3 linked regions of the Ovis aries genome follow. The protein of the gene in region 3 purifies or fractionates together with the protein of the main gene of each other region. This does not show direct contact. Links are inferred from orthologs where the notes say so. Each region holds a gene or a part of one and is shown on either strand. Other genes may lie near its edges.

Region 1 (3,749 bases), on a different chromosome or scaffold from region 3:
AAAAAACTGAAGTGTGAACAAACTATATGTATTATGTTGCAGCCTGTGTTTGCCTTCGACAATATTCCTGAGTCAACATTCTCACACATGATGTTGGAAGCCTTGAAACTAGCCTATCACACAGATACAGCAACGTACTAATCTTAGGAGTTTGGGTAGAACGTTAATACTTTACGTATTTCGGACACTCCCAAAGCCCAAGAGGTCAAAACCCTTCTATTTATCCACACATGTCTGTTACTGATTTGACTTACTTTTTCAAAAAATAACTTCCAATTTTTAGACATAAAATATGGGAAACCTGTTAACAAGTGATAAAGCAGAAATTATACTGCTCTTTTGTATTGAATCTACTTTGCTTCTGAATTGTACTTGGGAAAAGAGCTCACTACTAGATGGAAAAAAAAACCCCTAGAAATCACTGAGGAGGGATAATTTGCTGGAAAACAAGTTAATAGTAATGCTTTATACTCCAACATATGTTCCTATAATCGTAGAAATAATTTCTATATCCATATACCGTGTATTTGTCATTTGTTTTTCAGGATTCCTCCTTAATTTCTGCCTATCTTTCTTCACCTTTAAGTCATCAACATCTACCCTATAACAAAGAAACTATGCTTCTTTTTCAATAAAAAAATTTTGTTGAGATGGAAAATATTAAAAGCCAAAAATGTACACAATTTTAAAACCTCGATTCTTTGTGGTGTTGCACGGAAAAAATTATATCTGCCCTCCATGACAAATACAACTCCCACTGATTTAAGAAAACACTCAGTCCGAACAGTCATCCGGAAAGTATTAAAAAAAATTTTTTTTTACTAGGAGAGTTTGTGTCTGAACCGTCAAGAAACGACAACAAAAAAAAGAAGCCCTTAACTGCTGAGGAAATGTAAGACTTTCCCAACCTGTCACCGGCACGGGGAACTAAGGGAAACGTTGACAGCTTTGAAGCTGCCCGCGACGGGAGCTCGGCCAGCCGCGGGGGGCGGGAAAGCGGGGCGCGGGGAGTTTTCGGGCCGCGGCGCGCCTTTGTCCCTGGCGGCAGGTGCGGCGAGGCTGCCGGGCCTGTCCCGAAGCCCCGCCGCCGGGCCCCGCCCCGCGCTCCCGGCCCGACCGGCGCGTCCCCACCATCGGGGCGGGGCCTCCGCCGCTGCTCCCGCCCGCCCGGGCCCACACAAAGGCCCGGCAGTCGGCCGAGAGGAAGCGGCCCCGCCCGCCCCGGGCCCGGCCTTACCCAGCCGCTCCGCCGCCTGCAGCCCCGGCCGCCGACAGCCGCGCCCCGCCCCGTGGAAGCCACGGCTGCTGCTATTGCTCCTCCGGCCGCGGCCGCTGCCGTCGCTCCAGCACCCGCCGCCCTCACCGCCCTCACCCCTCCCGGTACCGCCGCAAAACCAGTTCCGCGGCCGTCGAGCGAACCCGGCTCCGCACGACACTGCGTGCGCGCGCACACGGGCTAGTGGCGGCGTGCTTTACGGCAGCGGCGTGAGTGCGTGACGCTCGGCGGAGGCCTCAGTTGGCACGTGGCGCCTGCAGGGGCACGTTGTACCTGGGAGTGCTGGTGTAACTTCGGGCGCAGGCCTTTCGGCTTCCACTATGAAGCGGCCGAGTGAGTGTGGTCAGGGGGCGGGCGTGGAGGGGGCGTTTGTGTCTGATAGTCGACCAACCCACCAGGGTGCTCCGTCTCCCTGATCCCGCCTAGAACCGAGGGTTGGAAGGCCCCACGTGAGCAGCGCGGTCTTGTGTGCGGAAAGAAAGTCTGGGCCCCAAGGATGGAGATCAGGCCAGAGAGTCATGAGGACCCAGTGTCTGAGCCAGGTTTCGGGCCTGGCGTTTTCCCTTGTGCGGCCTCGTTCGGTCTGGCTCTGGTGAGGTCTGAAAACACGCACTGTTAGATTTTCTTCTGTGGTTCGTGCTGTTTGACAGGAAGTGGCAGTTCTGGGGTTATATGCTCCTGTGTACGATCCCAGTCTAATTTAGAAAGGTGGAAGTAGGGAAGCTGGATCTACAACGAATCTGTTAAGTTAGACTCTGGGACTTGGCTGGTCCGTGATTATTTTTACCACGCGCCCCACAATATTATTAAATTATGTTTCAGAGCCAGTTAATGCAAAAATGGATGTGACCTAAAGCGCGGTCATCAAAAGCTAAACTAGCTGATCATTTGTGGATAAAATCGATTTTGAAAAACAATAAATTAATCCTTTTGTGATCTGTTGCTTTGTAGAATTAAAGAAAGCAAGTAAACGCATGACCTGCCACAAGCGGTATAAAATCCAAAAAAAGGTAAGTCTTGGAAGAGTTATGAAACTTAAAGTTGCTCAGTCGTGCCCGACTCTTTATGAGGTCAGGGACTATATGCTCCGTAGAATTCTCCAGGCCAGAATACTGGAGTGGTAGCCTTTCCCTTCTCCAGGTGATCTTCCCAACCCAGGGATCAAACCCAGGTCTCCCACATTACAGGCGGATTCTTTACCAGCTGAGCCACAAGGGAAGCCCAAGAATGCTGGAGTGGGTAGCCTAGCCCTTCTCCAGCGGATCTTCCCAATCCAGGAATCAAACCCGGGTCTCCTGCATCGAAAGTGGATTCTTTACCAACTGAGTTACCAGGGAAGCCTGGAAGAGGCTAAATTGATTTCCTGCCCCAGAGATGTGGGTTAACATTAGTATGATTTCACTAGTGGAGGTTTAACTAGAATAGAGGTCAGATATACCTGGTCAGGAGGTCCGATATGGTGCAAGCTCTTAGGGAGCAGAAATAATTCAGTGACATGTCTGTAAATTTTGATCACCATAGTAGCAATTGCTGCAAAAAGAGTCCTGGTGACATTTTCTTGCTGTTTTATACATAAACATGCATGTTCTGTTTTATGGTTAAAGTTCTATGATTCTAGGTTATTTCACAGATATAACTTAAACTACAGCCACATTGGCTACTCACTGGAATTCTCTTTATTATTTCTGTAAACTGACGAAATACCATTATGATAGGTTCGAGAGCACCATCGAAAGTTGAGGAAAGAGGCTAAAAAACGGGGTCGAAAGAAGCCTAGGAAAGACCCAGGAGTTCCAAACAGTGCTCCTTTTAAGGAGGCTCTTCTTCGGGAAGCTGAGCTAAGGAAACAGCAGGTAAGATGTATTAGCTCACACTTTCAACAAGTGTGTGGGTGTGTGTAAAGTTACAACAGCAAGTCACTGGCTCATGCATTTCTCTTGTGGCTTGAACACAGCTTGAAGAACTGAAACAGCAGCAGAAACTTGACAGGCAAAAGGAACAGAACAAGAAAAGAAAACTTGAAACTGACCCTGATGTTGAGCTATCTAACACAGAACCTGTAAGAGAAGTAGGGGTTACAGTCATGAAAAGTGGAAATGAGTCACGTCTACTGACCTTCTAATTGTGTATCCTTTCCCTTGTCTTTATCCCCCAGGAATCAGGGCAACGCAAAGCTAAGAGAGCCAAGACAAGCAAACAGAGTCCGAAGATGCTGCACTGCCAGGAACTTAAAAAGGTATCATAGTCTAGGTTAGTGTCTAAAAGTGGTTGTGAAGTTTAAAAGACTTAAGAGTCATCTTTCCTTTCTCCTGACACCAACTTTATAGAAGTGGAAGTAGCGTTCTCTTGAGCGGGAAGAATTCTCCAGCAAGTTGGCTTGGTCTGTTACATTTAGCTGAAAGAAATATTAGAAAAGGGGGGGTGGCCATAGTCCCTGTAACCATTATATGGTCACACCAGGTCTTAGTTGCAG
Region 2 (3,276 bases), on a different chromosome or scaffold from region 3:
GAAAAAAGTGACAAAACCCCACATGCATGGCCCTACCCTGTCCCCAGCTACTTGCACCCAGAATCCTATTACTAATCGTTCTTCAGGGTGATAAGCCCAGTGCTCTCTGCTTCAAATAAAGTTCTTTCGTAACAGGAAAAATTCACATGTTCTGGTGCCCTGACTGTTCCGTTTTTCTTCCTTTTACTGTTAAGTAATTTGCACCCACTGCTTCTAAATTAAATTTGTAATCTACAAAACACTTTCAATACATATATCAACTTATGCAAAATCTAAATATCTTTCTCATATTTTTTCAAGGTAAGTAAACAAGAGAAGTTGGCTCTTTCCATGCCTTGTGACTCAGGGACTCAAACTTCAGTAAGATGCTTTCCCCTGCTAGCACTCTACCCTCACTGTACCATCTGAAACGATGCCCTCAAAGTGCCTAATACTGTTTTACATAAAATAACAATCCAGTAAATCTGCCTGAATTTCAGCTTTAATAAACTGAAAATTTTAATTCAAGACAGTAGGCCTAAACCTTAAGTGTGCTAGGTTTTTAGTAATATGTAAAGCTTGAAAAAGAAAAACAGAAATTAGGTGATGAGTTCTGGTGATATTTTATTTAGAAAAACACAGACCAAACCGGAGCAAAGTCACAAAATCTTAAGCTTTTTCTTTTAAATGTCACACTAATTAGATGTAAGGTCATCGCAAATAACAAAAGTATTTACACACTGAACACAAAATAAATATAAAACAACTGAAATCAAATTAGTTCTCCATTGATTCATTTTGCATTCCCACTGCTCATCTTCTGTTTCATTTTTCTTTGTCTTTTGTAAATCCTTTTCTTTCTGGCTTTCAAATCGACTTTTGGCTCTGGTTTCACCCACTGTATTTCTACTGGCTTTTCCTCAGCCGGAGTAACAAAAACATCTGCAGTGGGATCATGGGGAAGAATAGTCTTTGGTTCTTTCTTTCTCAGCTTCTGCACATCTTTCACTTGCTGTTTCTCTCTGTATTTTGCAGCTGTGATGGATCTTATGACACGCCGATGCTAGAAACAAAAAAAATATGAAAGGTGCTTTTGAATAAAAATAAACATTTTATACATGGCAAGGACATTCACTTATGAAACCTACTTCCCTTTACCCTGCATCATCAAAAAAAAAGTAATCTGTAAGACTGGATGCAGCAAAAACTAAATTCAGTTTCACAGTTAACAGAACACTTATTTGACAGAATTACTTTGGCCCAAAAGTTTTAGGACATCAAGGACCAGTGAACAGAAACAGCTTACCATGTTTGGTGACTGGTAGTGAGGATTTTCATACAAAGTTGGTCCTCCAAAACTTCCCTGGAAAATCTTTATAAGATTTAAGACAAAACGGGGTCCTATTTCTACAAGAGCAGCATCTTCTTCAATGATCTTTAATTAAAAAAAGGAAACATTTCATTTTGATTTGAATAAAATACTTCTAAATGGTACATGGGCTATATCCTCATTACAAATGTGCTTAAAAGAACTAACAACCAATAAAGTTAAGGTGGAAGGGAAACTTGGCAAATGCCAAATCATCAATATTTTCTGAAATATATCACTGGTTACAGGTAGCTGCCATAGGAAAATATAAATGTCTTTTCAGTGTGTCTTTAAAATTGAGTCATTTCAATCTGGTCTGTATCTAGCTTCTCACAACACATGTCTTCTTGCAAAACTGGTCAAATATTTAAAACTGCAACCATGAGAACAAAATGTATTCAAGCACCCTATGGGGCACTCTTTCAAAATTTAAATCAATCCTTGAGTTGTTTTTATAAATCTAATTCAAATTAGATTAAAAGGCATATAAAAGGGTATATGGCAAAATTTATTTTTGAATGGCTACTGACTGTGGAATTAAGGAGCAACTTCTGAACCAAAAATATTACTATTTTTTGCTTAAGGTAGGGCTACATTCAGAGGTTAAGAAGGGGATATGTTTAACTCACATCTTTTCTGCTTAACACAAGCAGAAAAAAGCCCAGTTTATTTCACACGCTGTCTGAAATTCTGTCTTGCTGTTTTCATCCACCTCTCCTCCTGAATCAATCACTGTATGACTCATCTGATAGTTCTCATTAAATGTTTTCTACGGGGGCTATGTTTTTCTAAGTCTAAAACCACACCCCAGCCCCAGCAGACTCTAACCTCTTAGGAGAGAAACTTATATTTTACTCAATGTCTAGTGACTTGTGAGAAAATCCATACTCAGCTGATAGCCATGAACTTAGGTTATGAAATAGGGGTTATTTACTACAAGTCTGTAGGGAAAAGAAAGCTATGTAAGAGAAAAAGAGTATCATTTGCCTATTCTATATCATAAACACTATATATCCTAACTTATATAATTAAAAATATAAGCTAACCTGAAAGTTCCGAAACCATATCCTATTATCCAAAATGGTGAATGTAAACACATGGTCCACAAATGGCTGGCTTTTGGGATGATACCGTGGTGTACTGAAGATCTAGTGGAAAAAGGGACACGTTAGTTCTGTACTCTATGACATACCATGTGTGTTTTAGATAAAGTTAAAAGGAAGACACTTATTTATAATATTTTACTAAAAACAGTTTCTAGTAAAGATATTTACCTGAATTAAGAGCTCTTTTAACAAAGCATAATGTGGTAATTCATCAAAAACCTGTAAGAATAAAGTGAACATATTATTTGACAACATTAATTGTGCTTAAAATTGTGTTTTATTAACTAAACTGAATTATACAACTATATCCACTCAAAAAAACACAACCATGCACAGTAAGAAAATTAAACCTCATAAACTGAATGAGAAACTTACAGGGTCAAAAGACAAGAGGGGCCGAGAACCTTTTAAACAGTTTCCAGTCATCTTTAGCTCAGCTAGGGTATGAACTAGAAAAATTATAACAACAAAAACAGTTATAACTTTGGCACAATTATCCCAAAAGATTATTTTTAATTTTCTCACAAAAAAATTTAAATTGAGTCAACTTACTATTTTGAACAAGGAATTTAGCAGATGGTCCATGAGGTGAATTTGAAAGCCTAAAAAATATAAAAGAAGCTTTTTCAACTAATTAGAATTTAGAATGTAGTAAAAGCTTACTACCAGCTCAATTTAAAAGATACCACAGAGACTTCCCTGGTGGTCTAGTGGTTAACACCCTGTACTTTCAATGCAAGGGAGCACAGGTTTGATCCCTGGTCTGGGAACTAAGATCCCACATGCCACACGGTGCAGTCAGAAACATAAAATGCACAGTTT
Region 3 (3,749 bases):
GCGGTACTCTGACAAAGACACCACACGACTGGAGAAGCTCTCGATGTTTATCAAGTCAATGGCTGATATGTCCATGCCTAAAGAACATCAAGTATGAATGCAGAAGCCCAATATTCAGAGCCCCATACCTTATTTTCACTGCTAGCCTCTGTACTGACCCATGGAAGACCGCGAGGCATCCAAAATAGCCTTAGCCTTGGCTGCATCCATTGTCAGCTCCTCCAGCTTCTCCAACTTTTCTTCATTAAGCTCCTTCCGGTTTCCAATGAACTGAGCAAGGCGGCAGTACGTAGCATTGTCATTGATGATCTTTACCAGCTCAGGAAAGTGATACCCATACCACTCCCTGCAAAGAACACAATCACTCCCTGGCCCAGTTGCCATGCTTCAAAGCTACACTCAGCCCTCTCCACATCTACTTTATCCCTGGAGGAAATCGGAACAAATCAGATCCCAAAACCTCCATGTCTCCCCATTCACAATACAGACCAGGTAAAGGGCCTGCCTGGGCTGAGGTGTATATGGGGTGGGTTTACTCTGCCTCCTCTTTCTATACAGTCAGTGTAAGAACACAGCCTGTGGTAAGCATCAGGAGGCCCAGCTCTACCAGTCCTGATTTCAGGATTCAAAATTAGCTAACCCACAGACCCAAGACCTTGTTTCTCAGGTCACCCCTGCACTTTACCTGACACGCATGGAGAAGGTATTGATATCCTTATCCAGCTGGTCCAGGAGGCTAATGGACTGGATAATCATATTGTCCACTCGGTTCACATTAAACTTAACTTTGGCACGAGAATAGCTGTGTCCCAGCCCCAGTTGGGCTTTACAAGCAGACAAATCGGTCAGACCTTTCACCAGGTTGTGGAAGTGCAGACGAACTCCTAGAAGAGGGTGAGACTGTGAGTAAGGAAAGGCTCTGAGCTAGTACCTGCATGCATAGGTACCAGACAAGCAGGAGGGCTTCTAAAAAGCAACCCGCTAGGTTTCCAGAACCACCGCCCCCTCACCAGCTCCAGATTTCAAAACTGTCTCACCTCGAAGGATCTCGGCTATGACACCTCCAGTCTGGCAGTTGTACCCTAACTCCTCTTGTATAGCCGCACCTATCTTGGGGTCCCCAACCCCCAGAAGTACTTTCTTCTTTTTGGGTGGCAGGTGAGTCTCCAAGAGCAGGCGGAGGTCCTCATGAACAACACCTCAAGGCAAAGAACAGAGCTCCCACTAACATGCTGAAGGACGTTTAAATCGTAAAAAGAGATCTTGTCACCTCAACTGCTGATCAGTGAGACTGATCTTACAGAGTATGCTAAGATGGCCTGTGCCTAGAGCCCTCCTCTTACTCAGAGGCTTTGCTCAGAGACATGGAGACATCAGTGATTACACTCACTCAGGGGATTGACAGACTCAAGTCATCACTGCAAAGCCAGCATCAACCATAGGAGAACAGAACTCAGGCCCCATAACCTAAGTGTAAAATATATTATTGAAAGCTTGAAACACACCCTGGAGCACAATGGATGTATTTAGTACCAGATCTGCCTTCTGGGACTAAAACTTCCTCCAGGCTTTTGGCATCAAAATTGCCCTTTGCAATCAACTGAACAAACTAGCAGAGAACCACATTTGATTGGATCTACCATTATACCAGCCCCTCAACCCCAGCCTGATTTCACTTAAAAATCATTACTACAGTGCCTACAAGAAATAAAGCGTACATCCTAGGTTGTTAAAGGGTTAACAGTAGCAAGAACTACATCTAGGCTCATCTCTCTACAATATTTAGTGGCCAACTCACCTTCAGACACAGCGTTGGCATTTTCCAAGGCAACTTGGGACGAGGAAAAGGGACAAAAGGCCACAAGACGAACGATGTTGTGGAATTTGCCAAGGTTCAGCACGCACTCCTCCACCTGGGGGGAGAAAGGTGATATTCTTCCCTCCCTCTTGCCTCTAGGGGGCAGTAAAGCAGCAGCAGCTCTTGGACCTGAAAGCACTCTTAGGACCAACCGAACACTAAAAATGGACAGATCATGGGTCCCAAATCCCGGTTCCGCTTCATTGGTATGGGGTGGAATCTGGGAAGCTTACTTTTTAATGCTTCTAACGCAATTCTAATCACGAATGCAAGTAAGGACCACCTACTTTGGAACTGTCAGGCCCAGCGCACCTCCCAACGCGCGGCCGGCCACGTGGGAGCACGCGGTGCATGCTGGGGCCCGCGCGGCCCGAGGGGCTGCGGAGCCGCTGGCTAGCCCACCATGTCCACCCACCTGCGGCAGCAGAAGGCTGATCTCCTCCACCTCCTTCAGCGCCAGAAGCGCGTAGCCGACCGCGTGCTCGAAAAGCACGTGCAGCAGCACCTGAAAAGGGAGCCGGGACACCAGAGTAAGCGCTTATCTCACGTTTGCCCAGCCCCGTCCCCGGGGAAGGCCCTGGTCCCGGCCCACGCTCCAGCCCAAACCCAGGCCTAAACCACGGCCTCCACCTCGCCCGCAACCTACAACCACTCCTCACCATGGCGCTCGCTCCTAGTCCGGCTCGCACTGTGGCGAGCGCGCTCTGGCGCGCGGAACCGGGCTCCAGAGGCCACGCCCCCGCCTCGTCGGCCAATCGGAGGCCGGGGACGGTACCATCCCTTTCCTCGGGAGGGGTCGCCCGGGGTGGTACGGCCCGCAGGCGGGGACAGGGGCGCGAGCGCCTGCAAGTCGGCCTTTTCCGGTCTCGGCTGCGGCGTGGTTGCTTGGTACGCGCCGGCCGGAACGGACCCTGCAGGCTGCAAAACGGTTTGGAAAGGCGCGCTTTTCTGGTTCATTCACTCTTGTTTTCATCCTGTAAATTACAGGCAGCAGAGCTTGGTGGGATCCGGGCTGGAGGCCCCCGCACTGATCGCGGCCACACTTCAGAGCAGAAACTGTTGCGGAGCCCAGTCTCCGCAGCGCTAGGCATCTCAGGACCTAGGCCCCGCCCCACGTCCCCAGGATACCAGGACCCGCTGCGTCCCCACCCAGCAATAGGGGTCTACCCTCTGCCGGGCCAGGGTTCTGCGCTGGCTTTCCTCATCACTGGGGCGGAAGCTGGGCCTGAGGCGCTGGCGCGGACTTTGAAGTCGTGATTCCCATTGCTGACTTGGTGCTTTTCAGTTTTATTTTTAAAAATAAAGGCTTCAGGCGCTGAAGTAGGAAAGAAAGATGATTCCCATCTTTTTCCGGTTCGGTTTATTGTTCCCTGCTTCGGCAGAACCTTCCTTCTGCGGGGCCAAGTGTCACTCGCCCTGGTGCACTGCCCAACTTAGTACCCTGTTAGTTCCAAGTGAACGGGAGCTGCTGTCGTGTCCTCTGGGCAGCTTTAAGGCACTCAGGAGACTGTTTTGAAATTATTGATACTTTTGCTTTAATAATGTCTGAGTTACAAGTCCAAAACCTGGTTACCCCAAAATGGTATATGTTGGTAAATTAAAAATAAATCATCTTAAGGGGGTTTTTACAACTTAAAATTCCCACAACTAGCGTGCATTTATAAATTCAAGGTATTTTCTAAAGCAGTTCAGTTATTTGACAAGATTCAAGTACTGAGCTCTTAAAATCTAGTAGATTAAATTTTAATCATAAATCTTAATATCATAGTCTTAATATTGCTTACATGTGTGCTTACATTTTGTTGCCTGTATCCACTTACAATCGTGAGTTCAGACTCCATCTCATGTTTTTAAAATGGAATTGGATCAGTTACTCCATCTCATGTTTTAA

What was found.
Region 1: the proteins of NOP56 (region 3) and GNL3 purify together in Homo sapiens (affinity purification with mass spectrometry; 4 studies listed by BioGRID and IntAct, with this or other methods). This does not show direct contact. The link is inferred for Ovis aries from reciprocal best matches to the Homo sapiens genes NOP56 and GNL3.
Region 2: the proteins of NOP56 (region 3) and BRIX1 purify together in Homo sapiens (affinity purification with mass spectrometry; 3 studies listed by BioGRID and IntAct, with this or other methods). This does not show direct contact. The link is inferred for Ovis aries from reciprocal best matches to the Homo sapiens genes NOP56 and BRIX1.

The regions. Positions count from the first base shown.
Region 1 is NC_056072.1:48,263,077-48,266,825, reverse strand, and holds the start of GNL3 (guanine nucleotide-binding protein-like 3), read left to right. Parts: upstream 1-1,514; 5' UTR 1,515-1,596; coding exon 1,597-1,609; intron 1,610-2,227; coding exon 2,228-2,286; intron 2,287-2,991; coding exon 2,992-3,129; intron 3,130-3,230; coding exon 3,231-3,335; intron 3,336-3,431; coding exon 3,432-3,512; intron 3,513-3,749. UniProt on the Homo sapiens protein: May be required to maintain the proliferative capacity of stem cells. Stabilizes MDM2 by preventing its ubiquitination, and hence proteasomal degradation.
Region 2 is NC_056069.1:39,391,486-39,394,761, forward strand, and holds the end of BRIX1 (ribosome biogenesis protein BRX1 homolog), read right to left. Parts: intron 3,057-3,276; coding exon 3,007-3,056; intron 2,904-3,006; coding exon 2,830-2,903; intron 2,674-2,829; coding exon 2,623-2,673; intron 2,497-2,622; coding exon 2,395-2,496; intron 1,415-2,394; coding exon 1,286-1,414; intron 1,043-1,285; coding exon 773-1,042; 3' UTR 587-772; downstream 1-586. UniProt on the Homo sapiens protein: Required for biogenesis of the 60S ribosomal subunit.
Region 3 is NC_056066.1:52,250,236-52,253,984, forward strand, and holds the start of NOP56 (nucleolar protein 56), read right to left. Parts: upstream 2,551-3,749; 5' UTR 2,521-2,550; coding exon 2,518-2,520; intron 2,364-2,517; coding exon 2,274-2,363; intron 1,914-2,273; coding exon 1,799-1,913; intron 1,425-1,798; exon of another isoform or gene 1,353-1,424; intron 1,200-1,352; coding exon 1,038-1,199; intron 885-1,037; coding exon 686-884; intron 599-685; exon of another isoform or gene 463-598; intron 347-462; coding exon 159-346; intron 78-158; coding exon 1-77. UniProt on the Homo sapiens protein: Involved in the early to middle stages of 60S ribosomal subunit biogenesis. Required for the biogenesis of box C/D snoRNAs such U3, U8 and U14 snoRNAs. Part of the small subunit (SSU) processome, first precursor of the small eukaryotic ribosomal subunit.